4 linked regions of the Caenorhabditis elegans genome follow. The protein of the gene in region 1 purifies or fractionates together with the protein of each later gene. This does not show direct contact. Each region holds a gene or a part of one and is shown in the gene's direction. Other genes may lie near its edges. The genes, in order: K12C11.1, got-2.2, gta-1 and alh-10.

Region 1 (8,496 bases):
ACGGCGGTGCCAGAACCTAAAAACGTAGATCTTGTTTTGGTAGATCTTCTTCTCGTAGATCTTGTTTTCGACTAGATCTTGGAAACGTGGTGCCTCGAAAAATGACGGAAAACTATTAAAAGTTTTAATATAGCCGAAATTTCGATTTTTGGTTTAAAAAAAATACATTTTGGTTATTTTTCGATAAAATTTATTCTGAAAATGAATATTTTTCTCGTCAAAAAATTACATTTTGAGAGCTATGACTAAAAATTTTAAAATAAAATCCAAAAATTATATGTTTAAGAAAGCTTAAAAAAAATTAAAATTTAAGCTATAGCTAAGCTAATTTTAATTTTTTTTCCTAATAATTTCAGTTTTGAAGTTAAAAAATTCAATTCTTTAATGTTTTAAATTAAGTTTTGAATTAAAAAATTTTAAAAATGCTCAAAAGTTTTTGAGAGGTTCAAAATTCCGGAAAAATGGTTAAAGCTTTAATTTTGAAAAAAAAAGAAATAATGCACCTAAATTGATCTGAATTCTCTCACCTTATTGCCCTTCAACGTCTCGCCAACAACTTCAACAATTCGATCAATCTGCTTAACACCAACAATCGAAACATTCTGAAGCCACGGTTCACTTGGTGCCGCCTGTGACACACATCCAGCCATAATTATCTTTTTCCCCTGTTCCTGACCCTGTACAACGAGATTATTGGCCTGTTGTTCGGATGGTGTCTTCACTGTACAACTATTCAGTACCCATACTTGTGCGGTTTCGGGCTCTGAAAATGAACGATTTTTTCGCGGTTTTCTTCATTTTTTGATTTGCAACTTAAAACATAATTTGTCACACTGCAACTTTTTCTTCACGAGGGACGAGGAAAAGTGGTTTCTAGGCCATGGCCGAGGGGCCGACAAGTTTCAGCGGTCATTTATCTTGCTTTGTTTTCCGCCTGTTTTCTTTTGTTTTTCACAGATTTTTCCCGTTTTTTCTTATTAAAACTGATAAACAAATATTTTTTGCAGATGCTAAAACATTTTCCAAGTCAAAAAAAAAATGTATTCAGTGGGCAAGCAGCGGTGAAAGTGGGCATTGTAATATGATGGATTACGCGAATACAAAACCTAAACTTTTTCTGAAACATGATACATATGATGCTTAAATGCTGAGACTACCTGATTTTCATAACGAGACCGCTGAAAAAGTTTTGAGGTTTTCAAAATTCAACTTTTTTGGTGAAAAACCCAACTTTTCGCACAAAAAAGTTTGAATTTTGAAAACCTCAAAACTTTTACAGCGGTCTCGTTATGAAAATCAGGCAATTTCAGCATCTAAGCAGCATATGTATCATGTTTCAGAAAAAGTTTAGGTTTTGTATTCCCGTAATCCATCATTTTACATTGACCACTTTCACCGCTGCTTGCCCACTGAATACATAATTTATTTACTTGGAAATTGTTTTAGCATCTGCAAAAAGTATTTATTTATCAGTTTTATTAAGAAAAAACGAAAAAAAGCTGTGAAAAACAAAAGAAAACAGGCGGAAAACAAAGCAAGATAAATGGCCGCTGAAACTTGTCGGCCTCTCGGCCATGGCCTAGAAACCACTTATCCTCGTCCCTCGTGAGGAAAAAGTTGCAGTGAATTGTAGTATTTGTACTCAAACTTCCAATTATTGCAAAAGAAAAACGGGAAAAATCCGTTAACATTCAGCATTTTACTCAGAAAAATCAACGAAAAACCATTGAAGTTTAACTGTAGAAATCCTAGGCCATGGCGATCATTCGAATTTGTATTTGGTTTGGCATTGTCGTTTGAAAAAATACTCAATACAATTCCTTCTTCCCAGTTATCTCAACCTTTTTGAGAAAAAAAAAGCGAATAAAGTTCGAAAAAATTGCATTTAAATTAACATTTTGTTTACGAGTATGGCCTAGAAATCGCGTGGTGGCCTAGGATTCATTTGCGCGCGCGAAATTCAAATTCAGCCACTTTCGTCGATTTCAACCGCTAAATGCTGAATGTTAACGGATTTTTTTCGTTTTTCTTTTGCAATAATTGGAAGTTTGAATACAAATACTACATTTTAAAACAATTTTCCCATTGATGATACTCCTTTAAAGTTTGACGGTTATTTGAAAAAAAAAATAGTTTCCAGCCGCTTGACAAGTCGGTCAAATTTCAAATTTTAACTAATTTTAGCCTATTTTTTTGAGCCGTCATAACTTTTTTTTTGAGAAGTTGAAGTATTCAAGAAGTTTCATTATGAAATTCGGTGTTTTCAGACTATTTTGAGTATAATAAAGCAATTTAAAAAATTTCGACTACACCACTTTTTTTTTTTTTAGAAAATTTTTTTTCTAGCTTTTTTAAACCTGTGTTCGTGACTGGTAGAAACCCACAAAAAACCATTATTTGTTCCATTCTTTTTCTTTGTATTTTTTTTTCTCTCATATCAATTGAAAAACGATTGATTCTTCTTCATTTCTGTACTTACATACCACCGCTTTATTGTTTTTACCTGATTTATGGTCCTGGCACGAACGAAACTTTTTTCAAATTTTTATCATTTTTGTTTAGTGAAAAATTGGAAAATTTACGAAAAACTATTTTTTGAAAATCTCAAATATTGAGATTTTTTTAATGCAAAAAATATTAAAATTCGAGATTTTCTTTCATATTTTTGTAAATTTTCAGCATAGTTTCTGTGAGAAAATCGCTCATTTTTGGATTAAAAAAATTAGATGTTTTACAAAAAAAATACTTTCAAATTTTTTATTTAAAATCGAAAAAATCCGAAATTTGGGTTACTGTAGCTGAAAAAGTTGGTTCGTGGCAGGACCCATGTTTTCACCAATCAATTGGTAAAATTTCTTGGGTTGTCTGAATTTTCCCCCACATTCTTCCCTAGAAAGGAGTCTTATTATAAAAACCCATATTTTTTTTGTTCGATGTTTGATTTTTATTCAATTTTATCGCCGATAATATTGATAAATGCATAATAATCTTATATATGGTTGCCGGGTCTTGCTGCGCTTATCAGCAATTCTCTCCTCCATTTCATTACTTTTCCACTTGACATTTTTCGCGGGCTTTCGGACTGAAAAATTCCAGATTTTTGAATTTTTTATTCAAAAAGTTTAGATTTTTTTCAAATATTTAGAAATCCACGGGTCTCACTAGCCAAAAATAAATTGATTAAACTGATTTTTCCCTATGAAAAATCAAATTTTATTCACAATTTTTGTATTTTTTTTAGAAGAAATCCACTAAAACCGCACTTGCTTTTTAAAAAATCGATATTGCAACTTAAAATTCAAAAATTCCAAGTTTTTTACAATATTCCGGTCCAAAAAAATCGATTTCAATAGAAAATCGATTTTTTTTTGCTCGGAAATCTACTAAAACTAAAAAATTAACGGCATTATTGCAAAAATCGATAGAAAAATAATTTTTTTTGTCCAAAAAATTAAAATTTCTAAAAATATTGCAGAAATATTACCCAGGCGCAAAGATTTGCGATATTTGCGCTAAGAACTACTGAATCCGGTCTCGACGCGACGAATATTTTTGTTAAATGCTAAAGTGTGTGCGTCTTTAAAGATTACTGTACTTTGAAACTTTTGTCTATTTTGCAATAACTACAGTAATCTTTAAAAGCGCACACACCTCTTCGTATTTAACAAAAATTTGTCGTGTCGAGACCGGATACCGTAGTTTTTGGCACGAAAATCGCAAAATTTTGCGTCTGGGTAATATTTCTGCGTAATTTGATTGAGGTGCACGGGAAAATTGAATTTTTCAATTTTTCGCTCAGAAAACCAAAAAATAAACAATATTTTGAGAAGTGATTGTATAAAACATCTTTTTTTTAAAAGAAACTTCAATTTTGTTGGAAAAAAATCGTTTTCTATCGATTTTTGCAATAATACTGTTAATTTTTTGGCTTAGTGGATTTCCGAGCAAAAAAAAAATCGATTTTCTAGTGAAATCGATTTTTTTGGATCGGAATATTGTAGAAAACTTGGAATTTTTGAATTTTAAGTCGCATTATCGAGTTCTTGATTCTTGAATAAAATCTAATATTCGATATTTTTGAATTGCTTTTTTCAAAAAGTTTTACTGCGAAATTGAATTGTGCAAAAATTTTCGATCGTGTCGAGACCCAAGCCTACTACACGTGGTGCCAGGGGCTGTCCCATTACGGTTTGATCTACAAAAAATGCGGGAATTTTTCGCCGCCCAGAAAAAAATGTGACGTCAGCACGTTCCTAATCATGCAAAATCAGTCTAAGATCTCCCGCATTTTTTGTAGAACTACGTAGATCAAACCAAAATGAGTCCCATTTTGCGTTGATCTTCGAAAAGTGCGGGAGAAAAGACGCAGGCATCTCATCTGATTTCGCATGGTTAAGAACGTGTGCTGACGTCACAATTTTTCTGGAAAAATATTGCCGCATTTTTCGTAGATCAAGCCGAGATGGGACGCTCCGACCCTTCGCAATTTTGTTTTAAGTCCAAAAATCGTTTTTTTTTTGAATTTTTTGCAAGTAATAATTAATAAAACCAAACAATTCAAATCCAATTTTACAGATGACATTCCAGCTCAGCGAGAAAACATTCAAAGTCCCTGTCGACCTTTTCACGGAAAATCGCCATCGCCTCGTCGACGCGCTTAAATCCAAGGTTCCAGCTAATTCAGTAGTTCTTCTGCAAGGCGGCGTCGAAAAGAATCGCTACAACACAGATGCCGCTGATCTTCCATTCCGTCAAGAATCCTACTTCTTCTGGACGTTCGGTGTCAACGAGAGCGAATTCTACGGAGCAATTGACGTGAGGTCCGGCGGAAAAACGACACTTTTCGCTCCCCGCCTCGACCCGAGCTACGCGATTTGGGATGGAAAAATCAATAATGAGCAGTTTTTCAAGGAGAAATATGCGGTTGATGAGGTGGTATTCAACGATAAAACCACGACGATCGCTGAGAAATTGAAGGAATTGTCTGCAAAACACGTTTATTTGCTGAGAGCCGAGAACACTGATTCCGGAGATGTGCTCGCCGAGCCGAAATTCGCTGGAAGTGGAGATTTCCAGCTTGACACGGAGCTTCTCTACAAGGAAATGGCCGAGCTGAGAGTTGTCAAGACGGAGAAGGAGATTGGTGTGATGAGATATGCTAGTAAAATCGCGTCGGAAGCTCACCGAGCCGCGATGAAGCACATGCGGCCAGGGCTCTATGAGTATCAGCTGGAGGTAATTGATCGGTTTTTTTTAACTGAAAATGTGCAGAAAACCGAGGTTTTTGACTTAAAACCATGAAAATATCGGGTTTTTTCGCGAAAAATTGGAATTTTTGGCTAAAAATAACCAGAAAATCCAAAATTTGAGGTTTTTGGCTGAAAATATGGGACAATTTCGATTTTTCTAACAGGAAAATAACCAAAAAAATCTATATTTTCGACGAAATTGTGCAAAAAATTAAGATTTCTCACTGAAAATTGCTTAAAAATCGAGATTTTTGACTTAAAACCATGAAAATATTATTTAGGGTTTTTTCTCGAAAAATTGGAATTTTTGGCTTAAAATAACCAGAAAATGGAGGTTTTTCTCGAAAAAATTATACTTCTAACCGTAAATTTGAGGATTTTGGCTGAAAATATGCAAAAAATTGAGTTATTTTGCAGAATATAAAGAATTTTGACTAAAAGCGCCTGAAAAAATCCAAAAAAAAAATCGGTTTTTTGCTTGAAATGATCGAAAAATGTAGATTTTCGACAAAAAAGTGTGTGAAATGGCTAAAAATGACCAAAATTAATGTTTTTTTTTTTTGGATAAAAAGTGACCAAAAAATCAATATTTTCCAGTTTTGGTGGTGGTAAATTAGACGTTTTTGGCTGAAAATATGTGAAAAATCTATATTTTCGACGAAATTGTGCAAAAAATTTAGACTTCTTACTGAAAATGGCTTTAAAAAAACCAGATAACCAGATTTTTGGTGTGAAATTGTTGAAAAAAAAATTTCTGCCAAAAGTGAGATATTTGACTGAAAATGACCAAAAATTCCGGTTTTTTCATCGTAAATTTCAAAATTTTGGCTGAAAATGACTATTAATCAATATTTTCCTGTTTCGTGATAAGTTTTCTAGTTTAAAGTAACAAATCGACATAAAATTTGGCTGAGATCGTGACGAGACCCCCCTCTTCCTAGAAAAACAGCGTGTGCCTTTAAACTGGCGGGTCAAATTTGTGTGCCAGATGCCAGGCAATGCGGGAATTTTTTGCCCAACCATGATGCAAAATCAGTTGAGAACTCTGCGCGTCTCTTTTTCTCCCGCATTTTTTGTAGATCAACGTAGATCAAGCCGAAACGAGACACTCTGAGACACCGACGTGCTAGTGTACTCCTCGTGAACAAAACTTTAAATTATAACAAATCTTAAAAATTTGGCTCAGATCGTGGCGAGACCCCCCCCCCCCCCCCCCCCCCCCTCCCCCAGAAAAACATCGTGTGCCTTTAAACTGGGACAGAGATGCTCAATAACCAAAGCGTGAATTCCAGAGTCTGTTCCGTCACACATCCTACTACCACGGAGGCTGCCGACATCTCGCCTACACCTGCATCGCCGCCACCGGCTGCAACGGCTCAGTGCTTCACTACGGCCACGCGAATGCTCCAAACGACAAGTTCATCAAGGACGGCGACATGTGCCTTTTCGATATGGGACCCGAATACAACTGCTACGCATCAGACATCACCACCTCATTCCCGTCAAACGGAAAATTCACCGAAAAACAGAAAATCGTGTACAACGCTGTGCTCGCCGCCAATCTTGCCGTCTTGAAAGCGGCAAAACCGGGCGTTCGCTGGACGGATATGCACATTTTGTCGGAAAAAGTGATTCTGGAGCATCTCAAGCAGGCTGGGCTCATCGTCGGCGACATTGATAAGGCTGTGGAGGCACGTGTAGGCGCGGTCTTCATGCCTCATGGATTGGGACACTTGATCGGGTTGGATGTGCACGATTGTGGAGGATATATGGGTGATGCGACGCCGAGATCAACGCTTCCCGGGCTCAAGAGCCTCAGAACGACGAGAACGCTGATGGAGAGAATGGTGAATAGCTCTGCAACCCGTCAAAACAGTCCCAAAACAGTAGATTTTCGGAAAAATCGATAATTTTCGCAGAAATCGAGTTGGCAGAGCCCTGCAACCCGTAAAAATTGTGGAAAAGCTGACTTTTTTAGTCAAAACTGTCCCACGGGAGTAAATTTTTCGGAAAAATCGATAATTTTCGCAGAAATCCAGGTGTCAGAGATCTGCAACCCGTTAAAATTGGAAAAAATTGACTTTTTCAGTAAAAATGGTTCCAAAGCATTAAAATTTTCGGAAATATCGATAATTTTCGTGAAAATCGAGGCGGCAGAGCTCTGCAACCGTAAAAATTGTGGAAAAGCTGACTTTTTCAGTCAAAACTGTCCCACGGGAGTAAATTTTTCGGAAAAATCGATAATTTTTTGAGTTTTGAGCTGTTAAAGCATGCAAAATGCCGAAATTTTATCGAAAAGTAGAAAAATTAGCCCCGCGGAGCTGGAAAATCCAGAAAACCTCAATTTTTCCGAATTTTCACGTAAAAATCGATATCTTCCAGGCAATCACCATCGAACCCGGCTGCTATTTCATTGATTTCCTGCTCAACGAGGCGCTCGCCGACCCGAAAAAGAGCGAATTCCTCGTCAAATCCGAAATCGACAAGTACCGCGGATCAGGCGGCGTCCGTATCGAGGATGACGTCATCATTCGTGCTTCTGGTAACGAGAATCTGAGCGATCTTCCACGAACCGTCGAGGAGATCGAGAACTTCATGGCTAGTGGAGGCGAATGGACGGAGAAGGTCATCGAATCTCGTGTCTCTGATTTCTTGTCCAAGTGATTTTTTGTCTACTGATTCTAATTTATCATCATTCCTACTACTATTACTGTGTTATTTTTTCATGTAAAATAAAATTTAATTTTTAAAAATTTGGGATTTTCCGAAAACGAAGAGTTTATTTGTAAGATAAATAAGTTATTTTAAACTTTTTTGGTTGTATAATATGATTCGAAATGTGGAAAATAGATTAAATGAGACAGAGAAACCGAGTATCTCAGTGGAAAAGGGATGGATGGGTGTTTGTTTTCGGATTAGAGTGTAGGTAGAGGACTAGAATCCGCCCAGCTGCTCTTGGTAGACCTCGATGACGTCATCGTCCTCCATCTCGAGCGTCTTCGGTGTGTCATCGTCGTTGATGCGACGTCCGTCGAAGAGGAAACTGCAAATATTTAAAGTTGATAGGAATTGGCGCGGATTTCCAAAACTCACCGAAGACTGTTGACGGCGACACCGGTTCTGTCAGCGTACGACTTCTTCAGCTTGGCCATAGAGGTTCCATACTTTACACGGAAGTGCACTTCGTTGCTGTCCTGCAATTTTTTTGGGAATTATTAACAAATTCGCGGCGAATTTCCAGTCAAAT
Region 2 (6,459 bases), on another chromosome or scaffold:
GTCTCGATTCCGCGATACGAAACCTCCCGGAGACAATAGATCCTTTTCTCTAGGCTAGGCAAAATTTGGAGTTTCTTTCATATTTATCGCAAAAATCATTTTGCACTCAAATCGAGAGAAAAATTGAGAGAAACAAAGGACTCAAAATGTTTACGGATGTCCACGTGAAAGTCACACAAATGTTGAACAATTTGTAAATTTGTAACACAAAGTGAATTACACAAAATTCGGGCGACAATCTAAAAGTAATTTTCAAAAAACTCTATCTGAACACTACAGGTTAGTGTGACGTGTGCTAGGTTTTGTTTATCAGAATTGAATGTATTGAAGTTTGCTCACAAGAGGTAATCCAAAATGATAACACTATACTCACAGGCAGTTCAGTTGTAAACGTTTTTGTTTCCAGATGTTAGAAAAATTTTTTAAACCATCTTACAATTTACATTTTATTTTATCGACCGTGGATGCGCTATAATTTCCGACAAGCAATTCAACAAAAAATAAAAATTATACCTTAGTTAAAGATTATAGAAAACTGGTTGCTTTATCTGAAAATCATTTTCCTTTTATTTGGAACAATCGAAAAAAAAACTCAAAAATTGTCCTAATCTTTGAAAATGACGGGAAAAAACTCCAACACTTTGGTGGATTCCTTTCCAGAATATATCCGAAATTCTTCACACAATTTTGAGCGGTTTTCCAAACGTCCAAACGTTAATATAAAAACCATTTTTCATTAACTTTTTTCTATGTTTTATATTTTTTCTGTACTTTAAATTTATTTTTTTTTGCTATCCCAAATTCAATTTTTGAAGTAAGACACCATCTTGAATTTTAAGACTTCCAATATCCGTGTGCCACCAGCACTTTTGACCTACCAACCTGTGTTCTCCGGCCGCGCGCGGACAATATCGAACCTTTGAGAGTGACGAACCACAACAACAACCAAATTTTTTTTCATTTATCTTGTTGGCCTCAGTTTTTCCTTGCCTTTTTACAGTCATTAGTCGCTTTTTTTCCGTTCATCAAAAATTCTTTGAGATTTTTTTTTGCGAACACGGTGCTGCTAATAGAAAAGTTTAAAAAATTATATTATTTAAACAAATAATTTCACGACCGAAGTACGGCGATTTTCTTATATTTTTTTTCGAACGCAGTTTACTTACTGTTTACCAGTTCTCGAGCGCCGAGTTACACAAAAACGACTGAATCGTCGAACCGCATGTTTCTCACGTTGCCGCGGCCGCCCGAGTTTTCCTCTGCCACCCTACACTCTCTCGAATCTCCGTACTCTCTAACCTAGTTTCTCCAGTTCTTCTCACTTGTCGTCTTCCTTGCCAGTTCGTGGACTGGGATAAGATGAGCAGACGCGTCCATTCTTTCATAGGCGGTGCAGTCGGTCCATTTTGTTGTTTCACATCAGTTGTTTTTGATAGAGTCAATAAGTTTAACTACAATTTTAGCCTAGTTTGATGCCACGCCGTTGCTAAAGGCTAGAAATGTGGTTAGTACCCTGAATGGAGTGTCCTAGGGTATCTTTTTTGAATTTAAAAAAAGTGTCCAATCAGCCCATTCAAACACCATTGAACACTCAAATAATTGTCCTGGTAAAGATAATGATACCCACGTTTTATTTTATTTTTGTTTCTTCGGATAAGGAATCATGCGTTGTACGTACTCTAGTCTTCCCTGCTATCAATGTTTCGTTGCTTCATTCTAATCGGAACGTGATTTCCACGCCTACTTTCAAAACGTCTTTTAAGTTCCCACTCGAAACATTAATATTGAATATTCAGGTAATCTTTCTCCAATCAACAATGAGCGTTTCCAAGAAGCTTTTCTCTACCGCCGTGCGAGGAAAGTCGTGGTGGTCGCATGTTGAGATGGGACCACCAGATGCGATTCTTGGAGTCACCGAGGCCTTCAAAGCCGATTCAAACCCAAAGAAGATCAACCTTGGAGTCGGAGCTTACCGTGACGATCAAGGAAAGCCATTTGTTCTCCCATCGGTCAAGGAAGCTGAACGTCAAGTGATCGCTGCCAATCTTGATAAGGAGTACGCCGGAATTGTTGGTGAGTGTTATAAACTTATTGATCCATTTGAACTCTTTATTTGTTTGCAGGACTTCCCGAGTTCACCAAGCTCTCTGCTCAACTCGCTCTTGGAGAGAACTCTGATGTGATCAAGAACAAGAGAATCTTCACCACTCAGAGCATTTCTGGAACTGGAGCCCTTAGAATCGGATCTGAGTTCCTTTCTAAGTACGCCAAGACCAAGGTTATCTACCAGCCAACACCAACTTGGGGAAACCATGTTCCAATCTTCAAATTTGCCGGAGTCGATGTCAAGCAATACCGCTATTATGACAAGTCCACCTGTGGTTTTGATGAAACTGGAGCACTCGCTGACATTGCTCAAATCCCGGAAGGATCCACAATCTTGCTTCACGCTTGTGCTCACAACCCAACTGGAGTTGATCCATCCCGTGACCAGTGGAAGAAGATCTCCGACATTGTGAAGAAACGCAACTTGTTTGTCTTCTTCGATATGGCTTACCAAGGTTTCGCTTCCGGAGATGTTGACAATGACGCGTTCGCTGTTCGTTACTTTGTCGAGCAAGGACACAACATTGTTCTCTCTCAATCCTTTGCCAAGAACATGGGACTTTATGGTGAGTTTACATACTAATTTGTTAAATTTGAATTTTACAAGCTGGAGTTCAATACGAAATGTATTGTTTTTGTGCAATAGAGCGCAGTTTCTTCTTGGTGTTGGAAGTTAGGCCATGATAACGCGGATATCACTGGTGTCGCATTATCCTATCTTTTCTACCCTTTTGTAGCCCTAACCCTGAATACTGCATAATTTTTATAATTTATTCTGTTTAAGGTGAACGAGTCGGTGCTTTCTCCGTTGTTACCTCGGACGCTGATGAGGCTGCTCGTGTTGCTTCTCAAGTCAAGATCCTTATTCGCCCACTCTACTCCAACCCACCAGTCCATGGAGCTCGCATTGCTTCCCGCATCCTCGCGGATCCAGCTCTCAACAAGCAATGGCTCGGAGATGTCAAGCTCATGGCTGATCGTATCATCACCATGAGAACTACGCTCAAGGATTTGCTCGCCAAGGAGGGATCTACTCGTAATTGGGAGCACATTACCAACCAAATTGGAATGTTCTGCTTTACTGGAATCAACCCACAACAAGTTGAGAAGCTTATCAAGGAACACTCTGTCTACCTCACCAAGGACGGACGTATCTCGGTGGCGGGAATTTCATCGAACAATGTCGCTTACCTTGCCCACGCTCTCCACCAAGTCACCAAGTAAATCAGTGACAAATGCACTCTTCCCATTTTAACTTATTCTATCTGTCATAATAGAATAATTTTCTCGTTTTCGGTTTTCTTATTCTCCGGTTGTAGAATGGCAGTATGCTTTATCTCATTTTTATTTGTAGCCTGTTTTTTTTCTGAGAATGGGAACTTTTAATAAATTGGGTTTCGACCTTAATCTTTACTGGAGTTGGTTATTGAAAAATGATATGCACGATATTTGTTTAGCAATTACGTTAATTCAATTATTCGATTCTGAAACGTTGTGTTTCTAACTGTTTTGAAAGAAATATAATTGTCAGTTTTCTGAAAACGAAAAATTAAAAAAAATTAATATCACTTTCAAATTTAAATTTATTTAGTTGGAAGTGTGCTTACAATGAATGGTATAACACGCACATATTTTGAGTTCTCTGAAACCATAAGATTTTCGAGGAAAAAGACAAAGTATTTTTATAAAATCAAATTATGTTAAATACATTAGAGAGTTAAATACATAATTATTTAACAAAATTTTCAGAAACTTTTCGACTTCAGATAAACGCATCGGTGTGGTTTTCTGAAACATGGGCGTAGAGTTCTGGTATTTAATTCTGCAAATTCAAGTCACGGTCATGGGTCAAAATAAATTGGTTAGAAAATCTATTTTTTTTTCAAAAATTATTTCAGCTTGTTTTCAAAATGCCTTATAAAAACTGAAACCAAAGATTACAAAATCATACCTGGACAGAACTCAAACTAGCCGTGAATTTTCAGATGGTATTTAGCTCGTCGCAAATCAACAACTTACTTCCAGTCAACTGCTCAAATAATATATACGAAATTGGTTCCAGTAGATTTCAAGACGATAAGTGGGATAAGCTGAGAAAATGGGCAAGCCTCGCGCAATGAATTTTCAGAGTCCAGTACTTCCTACGTTAATGGATCCTCCATTATATCTCAACTCGAAGTTGTTAATGAGCGCATCTATATCGGCCGCCGAATCAAGCCGACAACCATCCAATGGCGGGCCTCTACCGATGACGCCAAGCAGCTTGGGCTGCATAATTAAATTAAAAAAAAAAAAAACAAAAAGCATAATTTGAGAAAACAGGTTCCCTCAGTAACAAGAAAATCTGTTTGATTCTATTTGATTCCTCCAGTTCTTGCTGCATTCAAAAGTCCCAAAAAGGCTTCGGTGAAACATTTCCGAATGGGCAAAAATTACGCTGGTCTATCAAGACTGTAAAACTTTAGACTGCAGCCTGAAGCTTGAGGCATATACATTAAAACCTGAGTTTGATGTTCTAAGACTATGAACATCTCAGGCGGTATTGGGGATTTATATTTGAGAGATAAGCTTGAAGACACAACTTGACGAAAACAAGTTCATTGCCATGTTTAGACATATTCAGTTGAACAACACCCAGCCTGCCGTGTGAAAATAAAAATTACCATGAATGATTTTTATAATACTATCTTGTTTCCGATGACGATATTAAAGAAAACGTGTTGATAATTTACAAATCACTCGTGCAAACTGTGCTCACAATTACCTGAACATTCACTTGTATTTTTTTGGAAGCATCAACTTTGGTCGTTTATGCAGTTTTACAATAATGAGCATAATAATAACCGAACTAATGATTTTTCATAAATAATTCATGGGTGAGCATGGGTGATCTACCAGATTTGAATAACTATACTTCAATTTAAAACGTTCTTCAACCGATCCCCTATTTTTGTAAATCGAGAGTATTTTTCACCGTTGGTCAGTTTGTTTGTTTTTGATGCGAATTGCTGCTCCTTTGTTTTCTTTTTCTTTACAGAAACTGCAGTCCCGTTTGAAATTCAAAATCCCCCATATTGTCTCATAGAACAATGGGAGTTTTTTTTTCTGCAAAATTTGTTATCTGACGTGTACCAAATATCCAAGCGTAAATCATCAATTCAATTGAATTCAGGATTACGAAAGTGATGTACAGTTATTTGAGCAGCTTCACTTATTTACTGCTCGGCTCATTGACTCATGTTTTTTGACGACACACACATCAATCGTTTGGAGCTGTGTGCACACATTGTGGCTCGGTTTTTCCATTGTCGGTTTATGAAGCAAAAACGAAAAACCGGCAAAATAATAATCAACAGGCTGCTGTACAAATTATGAAATCAACACTTTCCGAAAATAGATCTCATAATTTCTGAATTGTATAGTACATCGGAGATCCATTGCAAGCCCGGAATAGATATGATTCAAATTATAGATACATTTTTCTGTATGAGTCCCTATTTTTGTACACAGTTCTGACGCATTTTCAATTTGTACAGCACTGGAAATGAATCATGGTGTTTCGAAATTATGTATCTGAACTAATAACTTTTAAAAAAATAGCAATAGTTCGGCGTTACCAAAGATGCTCAACTAGTTTTCCCATTTTGAAAGAACTTAGAAAGACTTAAGTCTCAACTGGAAAACTGTTAAAAAAATAATAGAGTATGGAAAATGTATAGATCATACAAAAAATTGAAATCAAAATATCTATAAAGATTACTACAAAATTTAGTCGAAGGTTTCAAGTACTCAATTTTTCAATTGGTACATCATCCCGAATAACGATGTGGGAAAATTTGTAAATTAACAAAGTAGTTTAAAATTAATTTGAAATGTTTTTACAGACTTCGTATTGCTGAATCTTCCAAAAACTTTCGAACAGAAGCATATTGTGTCAATTTTAGCTATCAAAGTAGCAAATTGATACAATACATTTTATTCCTTAATTAATTATAGCATAAGTTGGAGAGTTATTTCAGAATCATTTTCATCTACTTTTATGACCGTAAAATACTCATATTCCGCTCATAAAACTTAATAAAATATTGCATACATTTTGGGCTAGATACATTTACATTGTCTTTTTATGTCGTTTGTATTCATTTTTCCACCAATGATAACCAACCTTTGTTACATTTAGTTTCAAATATCTCATTAAAAATGAAAAAAAGACATAAAAAATAAAATTTTCATATGGAATGTAAAGCTTTCTAATCCCTTTTTCATTTCAATCCGACTTCAAATTATTTTATTCAAGAAGGAATAAATTAAGTTTGTTTAAGTTTTTTAATAATCCCTCATTTCCGAAAATAT
Region 3 (8,179 bases), on another chromosome or scaffold:
CAGATACTGGCTCTGCGCCGCTGTCGGATCTTCCATCAAGATCTGGGATCTCGAGGACAAGAAGGAGATCGAGGAGCTCAAGCCAGAAATCGCCAGCTCTGGAAGCTCAAGAGGATCCAGCCCACAGTGTATCTCTTTGGCCTGGTCTCAAGACGGACAAACCCTCTTCGCCGGATACACCGATAACATCATCCGAGTGTACCAGGTGTCGATCCGTGCTTCCAACTAATTTGTTACCTGTTAATTCAAAACCCTTCAATAAAATTGTTGATATAATTTTGTATTCAACCATGTCAGATAAATTATTCGCGTTAATCAAGAATATCTAGCAGATGATAAAACAGCAAGGTATACTTGTTATGTTAGAGATGACGGATCGTAATGAGTTGATCGGTGTTGCAATTCGAGTAGTGGCGGCGGCTGCAGTTTCATTTCTATCAGTGCGCTATCTAGTCAAGTACTTGGATCCAAATTATAGTGTGAATGAAGAAAGCAAAAAGAAGGTTTGTAGATTTACAACACTAATTTTGTTTTTTTAATATACAGGTGGCACAGCTGTTTCATGAACTTGGTATCGATCGTCAAATAGAACTCTCAGAGCACGAAATTAGAATCGCCACGCAGTTTGTTGGCGGAGAAGACGTTGGAGCAGATTGGGATGAGATCGGTAGAACAGAAAATTGTTTCGCAAAAAAAAAGAAAAATTTTACAGGTGGCTGCGAAGAACTTGTTGCTGAACTAAAGGATCGCATTATTTTACCCTTGAGATTCGCATCGCAAAGTGGAAGTCATTTATTGTCTCCTCCACGTGGAATTCTTCTTTATGGACCACCCGGATGTGGAAAAACTCTTTTAGCGAAAGCAGTTGCAAGGGCAGCTGGATGCCGGTTAGTTATTCATAAATGCAGAATTGACCTGTTTTAAATATTGCTACCTTTCAGATTTATCAATCTTCAAGTGTCAAACCTAACTGATAAATGGTACGGAGAGTCTCAAAAACTTGCGGCCGCTGTTTTCTCTGTTGCTCAAAAGTTTCAACCAACAATTATTTTCATTGATGAAATTGATTCGTTCCTCCGAGACAGACAATCTCATGATCACGAATCAACAGCAATGATGAAGGCACAATTCATGACATTATGGGATGGATTTTCTAGTTCTGGAGATCAAATCATTGTTATGGGAGCTACAAATCGTCCACGAGACGTTGATGCTGCTATTCTACGCAGAATGACTGCAAGATTCCAAGTTCCAGTACCAAATGCCAAGCAAAGAAGTCAGATTCTTAATGTGATTCTCAGGAATGAAAAGATCAATAATACTGTAAATCTCGGAGAAATCGCACAGGCAGCAGAAGGTCTTAGTGGAAGTGATTTGAAAGAGGTTCGTGCTTTTTTTCTTTTTAAAATTTTAATCAAATATATTACATCCCCGAAATGGTCGTAATATTATTAGTTCGCTTTGTGGCTATATATGTCACATATATTCTAGTGGAATTCGGTAACGAAATATTTAATATAAATCTGTTCAACATGAAAAATTGTAGACAATAATATATCTTGGATTTCCTATAAAATCCAATACATTTTTAACATGAATTAATAGTGAAACAGCAAATAAGTATATGTGTTTTTATTGAAAACTACGAAAACTCGATTAAACTTTTGCAACAACGAGAGTTTGAAATTACAGTACTCTTTAAAGGTACACACCTTTTCATAGTTAACATAAAATTTCGTGTCGAGAATATTTGGGGCAGAAATCGCAAAGTTTTGCGAGCTTCATGAGAATAAATTGCTGTTTCACAATTAATTCATGTTTCTAATGTGAAAAATGCATTGGATTTTAAAGGAAAAATGTAATTTGTAATATGATAAAATGTAATATAATTGTCTACAGTAACCTTAAAGGAAAAAAAAATACAAATAAAAACATTAGTGAAGAGAATTGTATATATTTAATACAAGTTGTTCTAATAGTGAGCTTGAAAAAACTTACAATTTTGAATTTAATTTTAAAAAAACTCATTTAAATTATTTCAACTTCTTCCAAAATCATCTAAAAATATTTAGAAGTTAGATACACAATAATTAGCTTAAAAAATAATACGCGTTCGAAAATTTTAAGTTTTTATGTTACAGGAAAATGAAACGCCAATAATCGTGTTGTTATGTAATTTTTCAGGTTTGTCGTCTTGCTCTTCTCGCTCGAGCAAAAGCTACTGTAGCTTCTGGAGGTTCCGTAAATCAACTTCTTCCATTGGAACAGTCCGATTTTGAGTCAGCAGTGCATAAATATATGAGAGCCGCACATTTACTTGTTGAAGAAACACTTGATTAGTCTTAAAAGTTCAAGAAACGAATGTTTTATTTCATGTAAACTTCTATTTCTTTTTCTCTAAAAGTAGTCCATTCGTTCTTGTAGGTCTCAATTTATTATACCTTTTTGTAGTATAAAGCTAAAGAAATGTAACGGTGCTTTGACTTAAAATCGAAAATCTTTTTTTTTATTCCCCGGAGCTTCTAGAACAGATTCAAAAACTAATATTTCTGATTCCTGATTTTTTACTTCCCTATTCTTATGTATTGCATTGATTTAATAAGTACGTTTAGATTACCGGTTAGATTGTATTCTCTTTTTCTCTTTTCTTTCACTTGTCGATATCTCCAGAATCTGAAGAAACAATAAATCGATCACGTGACCCCATCTCTTTGTGTCAGTTGTCCTTCCGATTACACCCTTCGTGCTCTGCGAGCCTTTTTCTTTGCACAACGTGGAGCAAGTTTACACCATTCACAGGCTCAATATAAACGTCTTCCATTGGCTTCCAATTTTTCAGTTTACTTCTTCAAACAATTTTCACTAGAAAACGCATTTATTTCCTTCACTAAAAAACATAAGCTCCTCCCCCTGCCTTTCTCTGCGTCTCGTTTGACGCCTAAAAAGAGAAAACGGGAGAAAAAATTATTCGGTTTTCTCCTGCCACTTCAAATTTTACTCTTCTTTCTCTTTGTTTTTTTCAAATCGATTTTCGAATAATTTGAATAGTTTTTTTCAGAAGGAAGAATGCTTCCCAGACTGGCAAAGTCATCTTTAATCCAACAGGGTAAACCAATTAATATATTTTGGATTCAACTGGGATTTATTTAGGAAATAATTTAACATATAATTTTTGATTTTGAAAAACCTAACCTGCAGCTTTTTAGTTCTTCTAGATACATTCATTTTCAACCCTTTTTACTTGCATCTTTGACCTAAAACACATTGAAAAAGAAACAAACAACACTTTTTTGATTCTCTTATCAGTTTATCAGTATCACAAACATTAACGAAGGCAATTGATTTTTCTCGAGTAAAACCGAATAGGGAAAAGATCAGAAAAACTGAACGATAAAATCGAAGTTTTGGTAAATTGGCAGGTATTTTGATATTCACCACATGTTTCAATTTGGAAGATTAAAAAAACAAAATTTTCTGAAATTTTAAAAAAATACTAAAACACTTCAACACCATGAGAATGTTTCCAAAAAATGCTCTGACTCAATTGAAACGTTTATTTTAGTGCGTGGAGTTTCGGCGATTGCAAATGCCGAGCCATCTGGACCTAGTATTTCAACGAGCATTCCTGGACCAAAGTCAAAGGCGTTGAAACAGGAAATGGATAAAGTTCATGTAAGAATTGAGATATCGAAAGTTAAATGGTTTTTTTAAACATCATGGACCTTAAAATACCTTCAAATTGTGATAACTTATTTTTTATATCTATTCTAAATCTTATACGCTCATTATGTATTGGTTTTAGTTTTTGACAATTATTCAGTGGCGAAATCGCTTGAAATTACTTTTCAAACAAAAACTTTGGCTGAACTTTCTGACAACTTGCTCAACAGAAGCTCAACATTGTCAATTTGATTCTAAATTATTAAGAATTATAAGATAGATAAATTATAATTTTAGATTACAAAACATTATTAGCTATTTAATGGTCACACAATTGCGAAGAATTTCGAGCCATTCAGTTCAATTTTCAAATCAAAAACCAACATCTCAACTCCGTAATTACATGAACATCACATTCTTACCCTTATCACAGAACGAATGAAATTCGTCTCAGAAATATTACACTTTCTCTGGTCAACTGACAACTGACATTCAGGAGTTTTGATTATTTGATTTTAGTTTTTTTAATTTCAAATCTTCAATTTCATTGATAATACAAAAAATAAAATAATATTTCAAGGAAATTTAAATTTTATACATATTGTCAAAAATACTGTAGTTATGAAACATATGAATCATTCCAAATGCAATATGAGATTTCAAAATTTTATAAAAATTAAAAAAATTTTTTTTCAGCAAACTACATCCGTTCGTTTCCATGTCGACTACGAGAAATCATTCGGAAATTACGTTGTAGATGCTGATGGTTAGTTTTTATTTTCAGTTTACACACCAGGATTTAATTTAGGAAATGCACTTCTCGATGTCTATACTCAAATATCATCTCTTCCTTTGGGATACAATCATCCAGATTTGGTTAAGGTCGCTTCGCAGCCACATTTGATTGTGAGTTTTTATAAATTGATTTCAAAATCAATTTTTGAACCTCTTACAATCAATTGGAGCATTCGAACTTAGCCTTCCATGTACGCATGAAAATGTTTTACGCCGCATCCGCATTCAGGCACAAATACAGAAATTAGGCGGTAGGCAGTCAGGCAGGCAGGAGGAAGGCACATAATGACCATATTTTCACATTAACCGTACACCTAGAAACCAGTAAAAAATTAAATATTAAGTGATTTGCCTGTCTGTAATATTTGGATAAAACTAAAGAAAACAAGATACTTACTGAAAAGTTGAGAAATGTATTAGAAAATAAATTTTCAGACATCTCTTGTTTCTCGTCCAGCTCTTGGATCCTTCCCACGTACCGACTTTGCTGATGGAATTTCTCATGCTCTTACATCAATTGCTCCAAAAGGATTGAAGGCAGTTCAAACAATGCTTTGCGGTACATCGGCCAACGAGAATGCAATCAAAACTGCATTTATCTGGTATCAAGCTCAGAGAAGAGGAGGTCTTGGACCAGATGCTCTTCATTTGGAAAGCTGCATGAATCAACAGAAACCAGGAACTCCAAATCTTTCAGTTATGGGATTTGAAGGAGCTTTCCATGGAAGATCTTTGTGCATGTTGTCGGTTACCAGAAGTAAGCCAATTCATAAGGTATTTCAAAGTTTTATTTCGAAACAATTCTAATTAATTATTTTCAGGTTGATATTCCAGCATTTGACTGGCCAATTGCCAAGTTCCCCCGTTATAAGTATCCACTTGACCAGAATGTTGCATACAATAAGAAGCAAGATCAGGAGTGTCTTGCTGACGTTGAAGCGAAGATTTCCGAATGGAAACGTCGTGATAATGATGTAGCTGCAATTATTGTTGAACCAATTCAAGCAGAAGGTGGAGATCATTATGGAAGTCCAGCATTCTTCCAAGGCCTCCGTGATATTACTTCTAAACATGGAATTGTATTCATTGTTGATGAAGTTCAAACTGGAGGTGGAGCAACTGGAGATATCTGGGCTCATGATCACTGGAACTTGAGCTCTCCACCAGATATGGTCACATTCTCAAAGAAACTTTTGACAGGAGGATACTTCTACGGAGAACATCTCCGAGTTAAGGAGGCTTACCGTATTTACAACACATGGATGGGAGATCCGACCAAGCTTCTTCTTTTGGAAAAGGCTGTTGAGGTTATTAAGAGAGATGGATTGATTGAGCAGAGCAGAGAAGTTGGAGCTGAATTCCAAAAGAGACTTGGAGAACTTCAAGCATCGTCTGGAGGAAAGTTGGATCAAGCCAGAGGAAGAGGAACTTTTGCCGCCGTTGACTTCCCATCTGGATCTTTGAGAGACAAATTTGTTGACTTGGTAAGCAGAATTAATAGTGATAAATGTCAAATTCAGCCATCTTACATTTATATATTAAATTTCTTAAACTTCAATTTAATTTTAGGCCATCAGCAACGGACTTCACTGTGGAGGATGTGGAGACCGTTCACTTCGTTTCCGTCCATCACTCGTCTACACCAAAAAACATTTGGATCTGACTTTCGATCTTCTCGACAAGACTTTGAAGGGATTGTAATCATTTTTTCTTTTGTTTTCTCTTTAAAGCTGTATCCATTTTATTTGCTTCGCTGACCATCTAGCTTGTTATTATTTCAAAATATAATTAATAAATTAAATATTCATTTATAATGACACCGGAAATTGATTTTTTATTGTTTCTTCTCGGGAAGTTATACTTCGGATCGATTCCAATTGAATTTATAAATTTTTAGACACGTGTTCCTCCGACTAGCTGTGACATCTTTTCATAGATTATCTCGATTTCTTGCTGAAAACAAAATAATTTGGTATTGGAAAATGAGATAATTCGATTTTCACCTTCGAGGCAAAAATACCACACTGAATTTCGGTATACGATGAAAGAACCTGTACCACGTCAACACAACCCGTTGTCTCCAGTTGACACGCTAAAGTTGTGGCTGCACAAATACTGAATGCAAGTGCTGTATCATCTGAATATTCATCAATTTTGTTATAAATATAATATAATTAAAGTTTAAAGTATTTACAGATCATAGTATGTACGTTTCTACGCACACTACCATTTTTAAACTAGAACCAAAGGGGTTTTTATAAACTCCAAATTTGTGTTACAAAATTTTTTTGAACCAAAAATATTGATAGATATCAAGCTATACTCACCATTAAACAAAATAGAAAGTGATAATGTAGAAGTACTATCTGTTGGTGATGGAACACTTGGTGGGTATTTATGAGCCAGAATAAGCAATGGAGCATCATGATAAGTGATCCTCTGTTTTTGAACATTTTCAATTTCCCTCCAAAAATCAGTATCCAAATCTGCTCTTGACACATTCACAATTCGAACACACAGTTGTTGATCATCTTTTTGGAGCAGGACAAAGTTATCTCCGTGTTGAAGTTGAATTTCACCATCGTATATACAACTGGGAAGTTTTCTCCAAAACGAGTCTCGTTGGTTTAGAATCACAATTGTTTGAACTTTTTGTTGCCATGTTAATCTCCAAAGATCTTCACATTCATTACCCCATGATCCGACCATGAATTCATCAGATCTATGGTATCCTGGGAGTGTTATGACGTCTGATTCAATTAGACATCGAGGTTGATGTTTGCAATCACAGATATCCTTGAATAAATACTAAAGTTGAGAGGAGTTAGAAAAATATCTAATACAAACCTCAAATTGCAACTGCATTCTTGTTTTTCCGTTCAAATTTTCTTCGGATAAGTAATGCAGGTATCTCATAAAAAGGTCTGAATGAACTCGTGTGATTCCGTGACGAATCAATTGCCGGATAGCTTCGTGGCAGAAAATATATTGCTCCTGAAATCAGAAGTTTTGATACTAAGATTTCAAAGAAAGTAGATATTCTTACCAAAGTCTGCACCAATTTCGCTCTTTGTCTTCTCATATGTGTCAAATGTCCTTGAACATTGAGTCTTCGGAAACTAATCAAATGCCTTCTCATGCTATCAACAAGGATATATGAACCAGATCTACCAACTCCGGCGCTGAAAATATAAAATTAAAACTAAAATTCTCGGATTTCAGAATAACATACCTGCAATGAACTACAACGGGTCCGGTGGAATGAATATCGGAAGTGTAATGAACAAAGCTTAAAAGTGGGAAAACAGACGAAGGAACTCCATGATCCGGCCATCCCATAAAGTGAAGCTGATGGACTTTCCGTTCAACAGCTGGCACTGCTTTTGCAATTTTCAAATCCAATATTCGATGAGAAAAGTGGGCATTTGTAGATTCTGATACCAAAGTGACCTGATAATTTCCAAAAGTTTGCGGAGAATCCTGTTGTGATGGCCAGTATTGATCGCATTTTCTCTGAAATTTGAGATGTTTAAAAGTCAAAATTTATATAAGTTACCTTTCCATCTTCAACCATATTTGTGATGCATACAATAATATTGCTCCGTTCTTGCCAAATCATACTCCAGAAATCGGAAAATGTGGATGGAAGTGGAGCTTGTGTTGCGATGTAGGCATTACGTTCATTGCATGACTGGAATAATTAACTTGAAAGTTTTTGACTGAA
Region 4 (8,021 bases), on another chromosome or scaffold:
ATAAGCAAATGGCTACTGAAGCGGTCCGCAAGGCAACTCTTGCCAAGAATTCTGCCATCGAAGCAAATGCTACCATTCTCGCTGAGGAAGATGAAATCAAGAAAATCATCAATTCTTTGGGTAAGAACACTATTTAGCTCAGTCAATTATTTAATGTCACTCATATTTCAGATACCATGGAAGAAGTGAACAACGCGGAGCTAGATGAGCTCGAGGAGGAAATTGACAGACTTGATCAATTGTTGGCTCAGGCACAACTTGCCAAGGAAGTTCCCACGTATCAGCAATACCGCGCTGACGAGGACGTAAAGGTGGCACAGCTCAAAAATGATATTTCTGAGCTCCAGAAGGAGGTTTGTTTTGCTGGCTATAGTATTCGTATAATTAAACTGTATTTTTCAGGTTTTGAACCTAGAGGAAATCCGTGACAACTTGCCAACCAAATGCTTCAATGTCATCAATTTGGAGCAAGAGGGACAGAAATAAGATAATCTTTATAATTTTTCTATCAAACTTTTTCTATGAAAATCGATCAGATAATTTATTAACTCTAATATTAAAATATCTGAAAAAGAGCCCTTAAAAATTATTAGGTCGGCAAATAATTATTGACGTGTTTTGCCAATTAACGATTTTTTGTAAATTTTATATGTGTCTCTTACAGTAAACCGAGAGTGTATAAAAGCATATGAATATCAGTTGCTTTGGTCATCTGAGTAGTAATACGATTCGAAAAAATCGAAAAGTTTTTTTTCCAATTTTTTGAGTTAGCCGTGAGAGTTGTAATGTTAATATCTAAATCAATTAAGTTCTGTTTGCTTAATGCAAAAAATGAATCCCAACCCAATTGAGCCATTCCATAAACTTAATAGTAAATCAAAGTCAAAAAGCAAACCGCACAAAAATACGATATTTTTTAGTTTTGATTAATTCTTGGAAATATTTTCTTCACAGCTAACTCAAAAAATCGCGAAAAGCATTTTTCAAAAAATTTTTGATTTTTTAGATTCTTAATACTACGCAGGTAGCCAAAGTAGCTGATATTTTTATGTTTTCATACATTCACATTTTACTATAAGACACACATACAAAATTTACAAAAATTGTTAATTGACAAAATACGTCAATAATTATTTGTCTACCTAATAAAATACGTTTAAATTGCTGATCGACTTCTATTATTAATTTACGTGTTGAGCCGGGATAATTATTTTTGTTCCCATAACTAATAATTTCCTCTTCCTGTCGCCTTATTGTCACATTACCCTCACCTTCCCCGGTGCCCAAACGCGTGCACAGCTTGATGAAATTTTGCAAAATTTTGTTAAGCATCTTCTGTTTTTTTGTCTTCTTTCCTATTATTTTGTGATAATGTTGAACTGTTCAACTATTCTAAATTATCACGCTAAACTATTTCCTTTATCAACGATTCTCTATTTAAAAAATATACCAAATTCATTTTTGTTATCCGAAATCTCATACCAAATTTTGCCACCAACACATCGATTTCCCCAACGCTTTCAGTTTCTTATTTGTTTTAATTAATATTTTTATAAACGTTCAATTTTAAAATTTTTTATGAAATTACGAAATACAGTTTAAGTTTTCAGAATATTTTCCAGACTACAAATATGACAACAATGTTATCTTTGTAGGCACACCATGGACAAACCATGCATCATAAGGTTTTTGCATTGCATACTGACCTTGAATAGATACTCGGTGTTGTTCGTGCCGATCGATGAGAACTATATAAGAGATGATGATATTGCAGAGATAGGAGAACATACCGAACAATTCTATTCATTCTACCAAAAACACAAGGTTCAAAATTGACTCAAAATGGCTTCTTTGAATTATCGCGAGGAGTTCAAAAATATTCTTCAAAAGCTTATCGATTCCCCCAATGAACAACACGACCCATTGACAAATTTTATTGGAAATGAATTTGCAAGATCGGAGAAATTAATGGACTCAGTTAATCCTTCGACTGGAAAACCTTGGATCAAAATACCAGACGGGACTGCGAGAGAAGTAGATCAAGCGGTTGAAGCCGCTAAAGAAGCGTTCAAAACGTAAGTTTTTGTGTTTAAATAAACCAAATATTGCTCAATTCTTAAAGCAGTGCAAAATAAATTATTTGAAACTATACCATTTTAACAACTAACAATTTTTCCCGGCTAAAAATTAATAGATCCATCGACCTTAAAATACCTACATAAATCTAGTTGAAAACACATGATAATTAACTTGTATACCCAAAATTAGACAGCGATTTTATAACAATTTGTTTCCAGCCTCTGCGACAATGCCACGTAGGTCGAATTTTAAATATTTACAAACTTTATGTCATTTTCTAAGCCGCCATAACTTTATTTTGAGAAGATTTGTAGAAGTTTAATGACTAAATTTGGTGTTTTCATAAAATTTTAAGTCTACTACAGCAATACAAAATTCTACTGCATCACCTTTAATTGTATGTGTATTTGTTAGTTTTTTACAAATTATATTCAAAACTGGAAATTTAAAATCAGATTTTCAAAGTTTTAATTGTCAGGTTTAGTTTTTATAAATATTTTTGAAGTTTGTACACCAGTTTTATCATGCAAATCTCCAAACTATTTCATGTCGCATTATTATGCAAATTTACGGAGAATCTGTATTGAAACTGTGTCCAACCCAAAAAAATCCTCGAACTACTCAAAAAATTAATTTTCAAATCAAAACATTTTCAGCTGGAAAAAAACAACAGTGCAGCAACGATCAGCACTTCTCAATAAAGTTGCTAATCTCATAGAGGAGTTTAACGATGATATCGCTATTTTGGAGAGCCGTGACCAAGGAAAGCCAATTGGACTGGCTAAGTGAGTGAACCTTTTTTGAAATAATAACTCCAATTCCTGTTTAGAGTGATGGATATTCCTCGTTGTGTGCAAAACTTTAGAGATTTTGCAAATGCTGCTCTTTACTCCCTATCAACTTCAACCATTCTCGAGCAACCTACAGGAAAATTTGTTAACTATGTGAAAAATGACCCTGTAGGTGTTGCTGGTCTTATTAGCCCATGGAACCTTCCCCTTTACTTGGTAAAATCGAACTTCGAAAAATATTTTTTACAACTGTTTTTAGCTTTCGTTCAAATTGGCTCCCGCATTGGTGGCTGGAAACACAGTAGTTTGTAAACCAAGTGAGATGACTAGTGTTACTGCATGGGTTTTAATGCATGCATTCAAACTAGTTGGATTTCCTCCTGGTGTCGTAAATATGGTGATTGGCGAAGGAAAAAGTGCTGGACAACGATTGGTTGATCATGTCGATGTTCCACTCATTAGTTTCACTGGGAGCACGGTAATAGGAAAGAAAATCCAAGAAGATGGTGCGAAGCTCAATAAAAAAGTGTCTCTGGAGATGGGAGGGAAGAATCCTGGAATAGTTTACTCTAATTACCGAAAGTCGGATATTGCTTCAATTGCAAGGTATTTGAAATTGTAACTGTTCTGTCTACTCTGCCCATCATGTGTAGATACCTAGTTTGAAATTTGAAAAAAACACAACTTTTTGTGCAAACACTGTGGTTCAAAGTAAGGATAATATGTTTATTAAAACTGATAAAACTAATTCTCGTCACGATGACAGTTGACGTAATTTGATGTTACCAAATCATCCTTTTTTATCTATACAAAATTTGTAACATAATGATATCACTTCCAAATAGGCACAAATTTGTAACTAGATAATGTTATAGGTCCTCATTTCTCAACCAAGGAGAAATTTGTCTCTGCACAAGTCGGCTTTTTGTGCAAAAACCAATTTTTGCTGACTTCGTTAAAAGTTATGTAGAAGAAGCTAAGAAGGTTTGCATTACATTTTTCAGTTCATTAATTCTAATTTTAGTTTACTGTGGGAGATCCAACTACTCAAGTTCAAATCGGAGCCATGAATTCAAAAGTGCACTACGAGAAAGTGAAAAGCTACATTGAGCTTGCCAAAAAAGAAGGCGCCGATATTCTTTGTGGAGGCGTGACGACCATTCAAAATGGGTGTGAGAATGTGAGTCAGATGTTATTAGTTAACCTTGCTAATCTTTGAAATTTTAGGGCTATTTTATTACACCTACAGTAATTGTTGGTTTGCATGACGCTTCGAAAGTTATGACAGATGAAATATTTGGTCCAGTTGTGTGCATCACGCCCTTCGACACAGCGGAGGTATGTTATGATGTTACAAGTTTTAAAGTATTTTCTGATAACACAGGAAGTAATTGAACGCGCAAACTCCACTCCCTATGGCTTGTCAGCAACAGTTTGGAGTTCAGATAGTGATGAATTGTTAAACACGGCCAACGAGCTGAGAGCCGGAACAGTTTGGTGCAACACTTGGCTGGTAAGATAATGGGAGATGATAATTCGAGTTGGGTGTGACCAAGTTCTAGTTAATTACGGACGATAAGAGCGGTATGTGTGGGTAGACAGACAACATGACGATTGACCAATTTGTTTTGCTTGGAATGATGTTCATGTAGCTACAGACCAAACTAAATTAATTGTAAATGTACCAAGAATCCATGAAAATCACCAAAAATAAAGAATGCTTTTAAAAAATTTATAGATATTCTGTGCTGCTTAATTGTTTCACTAAGCGTCACTAAAAACTACTTGGAACTTTTCCAATAGTTAATCAACTCTCGGTTTTAAATTATTCTCATGTTGAAAATTCAGGCTCGCGACCTGAGCATGCCGTTTGGTGGATGTAAGCAATCTGGAAATGGAAGAGAAGGTCTCCACGACTCACTCCACTTTTACTCCGATGCAAAAACTGTTTGTGTGAATATTGCTGCTAAGTACTAACTTATCATGAATCGCAACCGTTTATTGTAAAATCCAATTTAGCTCATAATATATAAATATTTTCTTTCGAATCAAAAGTTATTTAGAACAAGATGGACATGGTGGGCATGTGTACGATCCTCCAGTTGGATATGCTCCATTTGGATACTGGCACAGGAACTGATGCTTAACTGTGCACAAATCGGAAAACCATCTTCCTGTTGACAGTTGCATTGCTCCACAATGACGATCTTCAAGAGGCTGTCCAGGTCCGGGATTGGTGAAGTTCAAAACGCTCCCATCTGTCCATCTCCAGTCATTTGTATGTCCTTCGTCGCTTCCACCAATCCAGAACAAGTCATAGTCAGCATCTAGATTATCAACAGCTAGTTCTGAAATCAATGTATTTGGTTTAGAAATTCATATGTTCAAGACATACTTTGAATCCAGTTGTTTTCGATCATGCTGTGAATTGATACCAGACTTCCACCAACGGTTTTCAAGCAATGAGCATCGGAGTCATTGAATGTTCCATGTACTCGATTGTATGAAAAACAACTGAAAGATGTGATATTGAGACAATTTATAACAATAAATAACTTACTAAATCTCAAATGGAGTATCTCCAGGAAGACAATTTGGTGACACAAAACACAAAAGCGCGACAAGAGTAAAGAACAAAACACGAAGCATTTTCAGTGTCCAGTAAAATAATAAATTTTATCTGCTTATCACAGCTATTTATATACTCCATTTTAAGGCGTCTCCGTATTCTTCCCACAATATTATAAGCTTTTATCAGTGCTTTTTGCAGTTAAAATATTTAAAAAAATTAAACTCATAGATGAGACTGGAATGTTCATCTGTCTGTGTTATCATCGTTTGATGACTGATTTTGATAAGATTTGTTCCCCTCTAATCCCCAACTCGCACAATAACGCATTTCATTGAAAAATATCAAAAAGCGAGAATTAAATTCTCAGAAAAAGAAATGTGTGACAATTGAACTTTCAACGGCAATTTGTTGTTAGATCTCAAAAATAGAAGTACTCGGGACACAAATATTAAAACACAGTAAAACTTCCGACATGTGGTTGATGGAATGCAAACTAGGAAAAATTGTAACTAAAAATGAAATGAGTAGAGAAAGAGGTAATGAAGGAAAGGTTGAGATTGGAAAGTAGAAAAAGAGATGAAATGGGTCAATTTTTTGAGGTTTTGTGTAGGTGCTTAAAAACTTCTAGGTTACAAATTAGAATTTGGAAAACGTTTACTAAAGTATATAGACAAAATCTACTGTTTCACTTTTAGCCTTTAAAACAATTATTTTCTGAAGCTGAGAAATTTAAGTCTTCTGAACGGGCTCATGCTGCTGCCAGTCGATGCAGGTTTCCGAGTTACAGGGGCCGCGGTCGTCTTCCTGTCGGATGGTTCTCCCCTAGAATCGGTCTCAGATGCTTCTCCTTCTCTTTCTTCCATTATTGCTGTACAAATCGATGGTTTTCGATTTATCTCAATGCATGCTGAAGATCTTCTATTCGGGTCAATTGCACCAAGTGCTTTCGCTAGATCCGCAGTCACAACTTTTGTTTCAACGGTTTCCGTGATTCTTCTGGTCACTCTGCAAAAATGTGTCGTTTGAACTTGGGAGTATTAATTTGTGATCACTCACTTGTTATCTTCAATCGAAACTATTGTGCTTAACGAGGAGGAGGAGGAATTTGTTGTGTCTATGGCACCTTGCTCTTTTTTCCGTTTTTTGATATCTGCCAAGTACTTCAACCCTTCTTTGTCCATGTATGCAGAATCAGAAGAACCTTAATTTCAAACGATTCTATTTTATTCGACCTTAGTATGCCAGCTCTTCTTTAGTCTCCGGGTTTCAGTCTTGAAATTCATAAATTTTACTGACTTGATGTTACTTTTAATCGTTTTCTGATATTTCCTACCTAGTTTATATTTAAAAAAAAACAAATAATGGTACTATTTTTTGTTAAATTGATCAACAGTTTCAATCATTTTTTATTAGAATTTAGGCTTTTATAATTGAAAACTGTTAATATCCGAATCAAAATAACTATTCATAAATTAGTATATTAGTTTTTCATTACGAACGCCTTTGGTAGTTAGTATGGAGCTATGTGAATAGAATAAATACGAAACAGTTTATGTTGATGCATCTTGATTTTTTTTCCAAAGTTTTACAACAGCTAAAAAACACATTTAAAATCCTTAAAATACCATAATTCTTATCGATATAAGTAAACGTAATTGTGAAATTTCTGTGACACAAAATTTATAAAATCAAAAGTCAAAAGTGATTTCATTGTATTTTTCAGAATTATAACTTTGAGGTACACTGTAAAGACTGTACTACTGTAAAGTGGAGTACCGACAATGGGGATTTTTCTTGAATAAACTCAAAATATATCAGAGATACTATTTCAAAAAGTCCGAAATGCTGCAGATTTTTCAAACCCTTATTTAAAAAAAGTTGTTTTTTTTTTAATTTTTTAATGTTCGAACTCCTACAATGTTCAATATAGCCAATAAATAAAACACATATTCAGAAAATAATATTTTTAGGGAAACTTTCACACTTTTTGCGATTTTCAGCACTACCCCGTATGTCGTAACTTTATTTTACCAGCACCAGTATAAGTAGTGGGTTTCTTATTTCTGTAAAACTAGAACAAAACCAAGCAAATGTAACCTTTGAAAACATACCATCATTTTTGTGATCTTTCTTCCCAGAAAAACTTGAACTGGGCGTACAATCAGCAATTCCACTGTCCGCTTTTGGACGAAACTCCTTATCATGATCGTGGTCTTTATCCTTTTCTCTATCTTTCCCTCTTCCCTTCTCCAATTTTCTATCTTTCTTTGCTTGAATTTTCCGTTCCAACTCCCTCTTCTTTTCCGCTAATTCTCTCGCTTCCCATTCTTCTTTTCTTTTCAAATCCATTGCTGCTTTTTCTCGGTCTCGTCTATTATTATCTTCCTTTTCCCGTTTTTCTCTATCATAATCAAAGGACCCTCCTGGTCCTCCTCCACCAAAAGGAAATCGTTTTGTATCTGATGCAGAATTTTTACCTAATCTTGAAAAGTCAATTGAGATCAGATCCTCGTCCGATCTTCTTTTCGGTGAACTGGTTCGCTGGGTGTGTAGACTTTTTGGACTACTTCTTGCGGACC

Evidence for each region.
Region 2: the proteins of K12C11.1 (region 1) and got-2.2 fractionate together in Caenorhabditis elegans (co-fractionation; one large-scale study listed by BioGRID). This does not show direct contact.
Region 3: the proteins of K12C11.1 (region 1) and gta-1 fractionate together in Caenorhabditis elegans (co-fractionation; one large-scale study listed by BioGRID). This does not show direct contact.
Region 4: the proteins of K12C11.1 (region 1) and alh-10 fractionate together in Caenorhabditis elegans (co-fractionation; one large-scale study listed by BioGRID). This does not show direct contact.

The regions. Positions count from the first base shown.
Region 1 is NC_003279.8:1,340,772-1,349,267, reverse strand, and holds K12C11.1 (Xaa-Pro dipeptidase), read left to right. Parts: upstream 1-4,575; coding exon 4,576-5,235; intron 5,236-6,541; coding exon 6,542-7,096; intron 7,097-7,631; coding exon 7,632-7,913; 3' UTR 7,914-7,996; downstream 7,997-8,496. Other genes in the region: Y92H12BL.1 (Threonylcarbamoyladenosine tRNA methylthiotransferase), read right to left, coding at 528-650; smo-1 (Small ubiquitin-related modifier), read right to left, coding at 8,184-8,292, 8,343-8,443.
Region 2 is NC_003284.9:6,239,187-6,245,645, forward strand, and holds got-2.2 (Aspartate aminotransferase), read left to right. Parts: upstream 1-1,796; 5' UTR 1,797-1,817; coding exon 1,818-2,073; intron 2,074-2,123; coding exon 2,124-2,672; intron 2,673-2,890; coding exon 2,891-3,330; 3' UTR 3,331-3,523; downstream 3,524-6,459.
Region 3 is NC_003282.8:10,177,602-10,185,780, forward strand, and holds gta-1 (putative 4-aminobutyrate aminotransferase, mitochondrial), read left to right. Parts: upstream 1-3,058; 5' UTR 3,059-3,066; coding exon 3,067-3,106; intron 3,107-3,562; coding exon 3,563-3,672; intron 3,673-4,356; coding exon 4,357-4,426; intron 4,427-4,468; coding exon 4,469-4,566; intron 4,567-4,890; coding exon 4,891-5,229; intron 5,230-5,276; coding exon 5,277-5,939; intron 5,940-6,024; coding exon 6,025-6,156; 3' UTR 6,157-6,338; downstream 6,339-8,179. Other genes in the region: rack-1 (Small ribosomal subunit protein RACK1), read left to right, coding at 1-229; mspn-1 (Mitochondrial sorting homolog), read left to right, coding at 369-503, 547-667, 713-887, 942-1,383, 2,185-2,340; ptrg-1 (Tyrosine-protein phosphatase 4), read right to left, coding at 6,349-6,408, 6,459-6,592, 6,783-7,251, 7,303-7,449, 7,502-7,637, 7,688-7,968, 8,012-8,146.
Region 4 is NC_003284.9:7,137,399-7,145,419, reverse strand, and holds alh-10 (Aldehyde dehydrogenase domain-containing protein), read left to right. Parts: upstream 1-1,778; 5' UTR 1,779-1,842; coding exon 1,843-2,075; intron 2,076-2,735; coding exon 2,736-2,864; intron 2,865-2,908; coding exon 2,909-3,086; intron 3,087-3,129; coding exon 3,130-3,476; intron 3,477-3,745; coding exon 3,746-3,854; intron 3,855-3,894; coding exon 3,895-4,050; intron 4,051-4,097; coding exon 4,098-4,208; intron 4,209-4,254; coding exon 4,255-4,383; intron 4,384-4,718; coding exon 4,719-4,847; 3' UTR 4,848-4,916; downstream 4,917-8,021. Other genes in the region: Laminin-like protein lam-2, read left to right, coding at 1-120, 172-353, 403-486; clec-86 (C-type lectin domain-containing protein), read right to left, coding at 4,926-5,218, 5,266-5,384, 5,431-5,519; ist-1 (IRS-type PTB domain-containing protein), read right to left, coding at 6,150-6,447, 6,499-6,643, 7,554-8,021.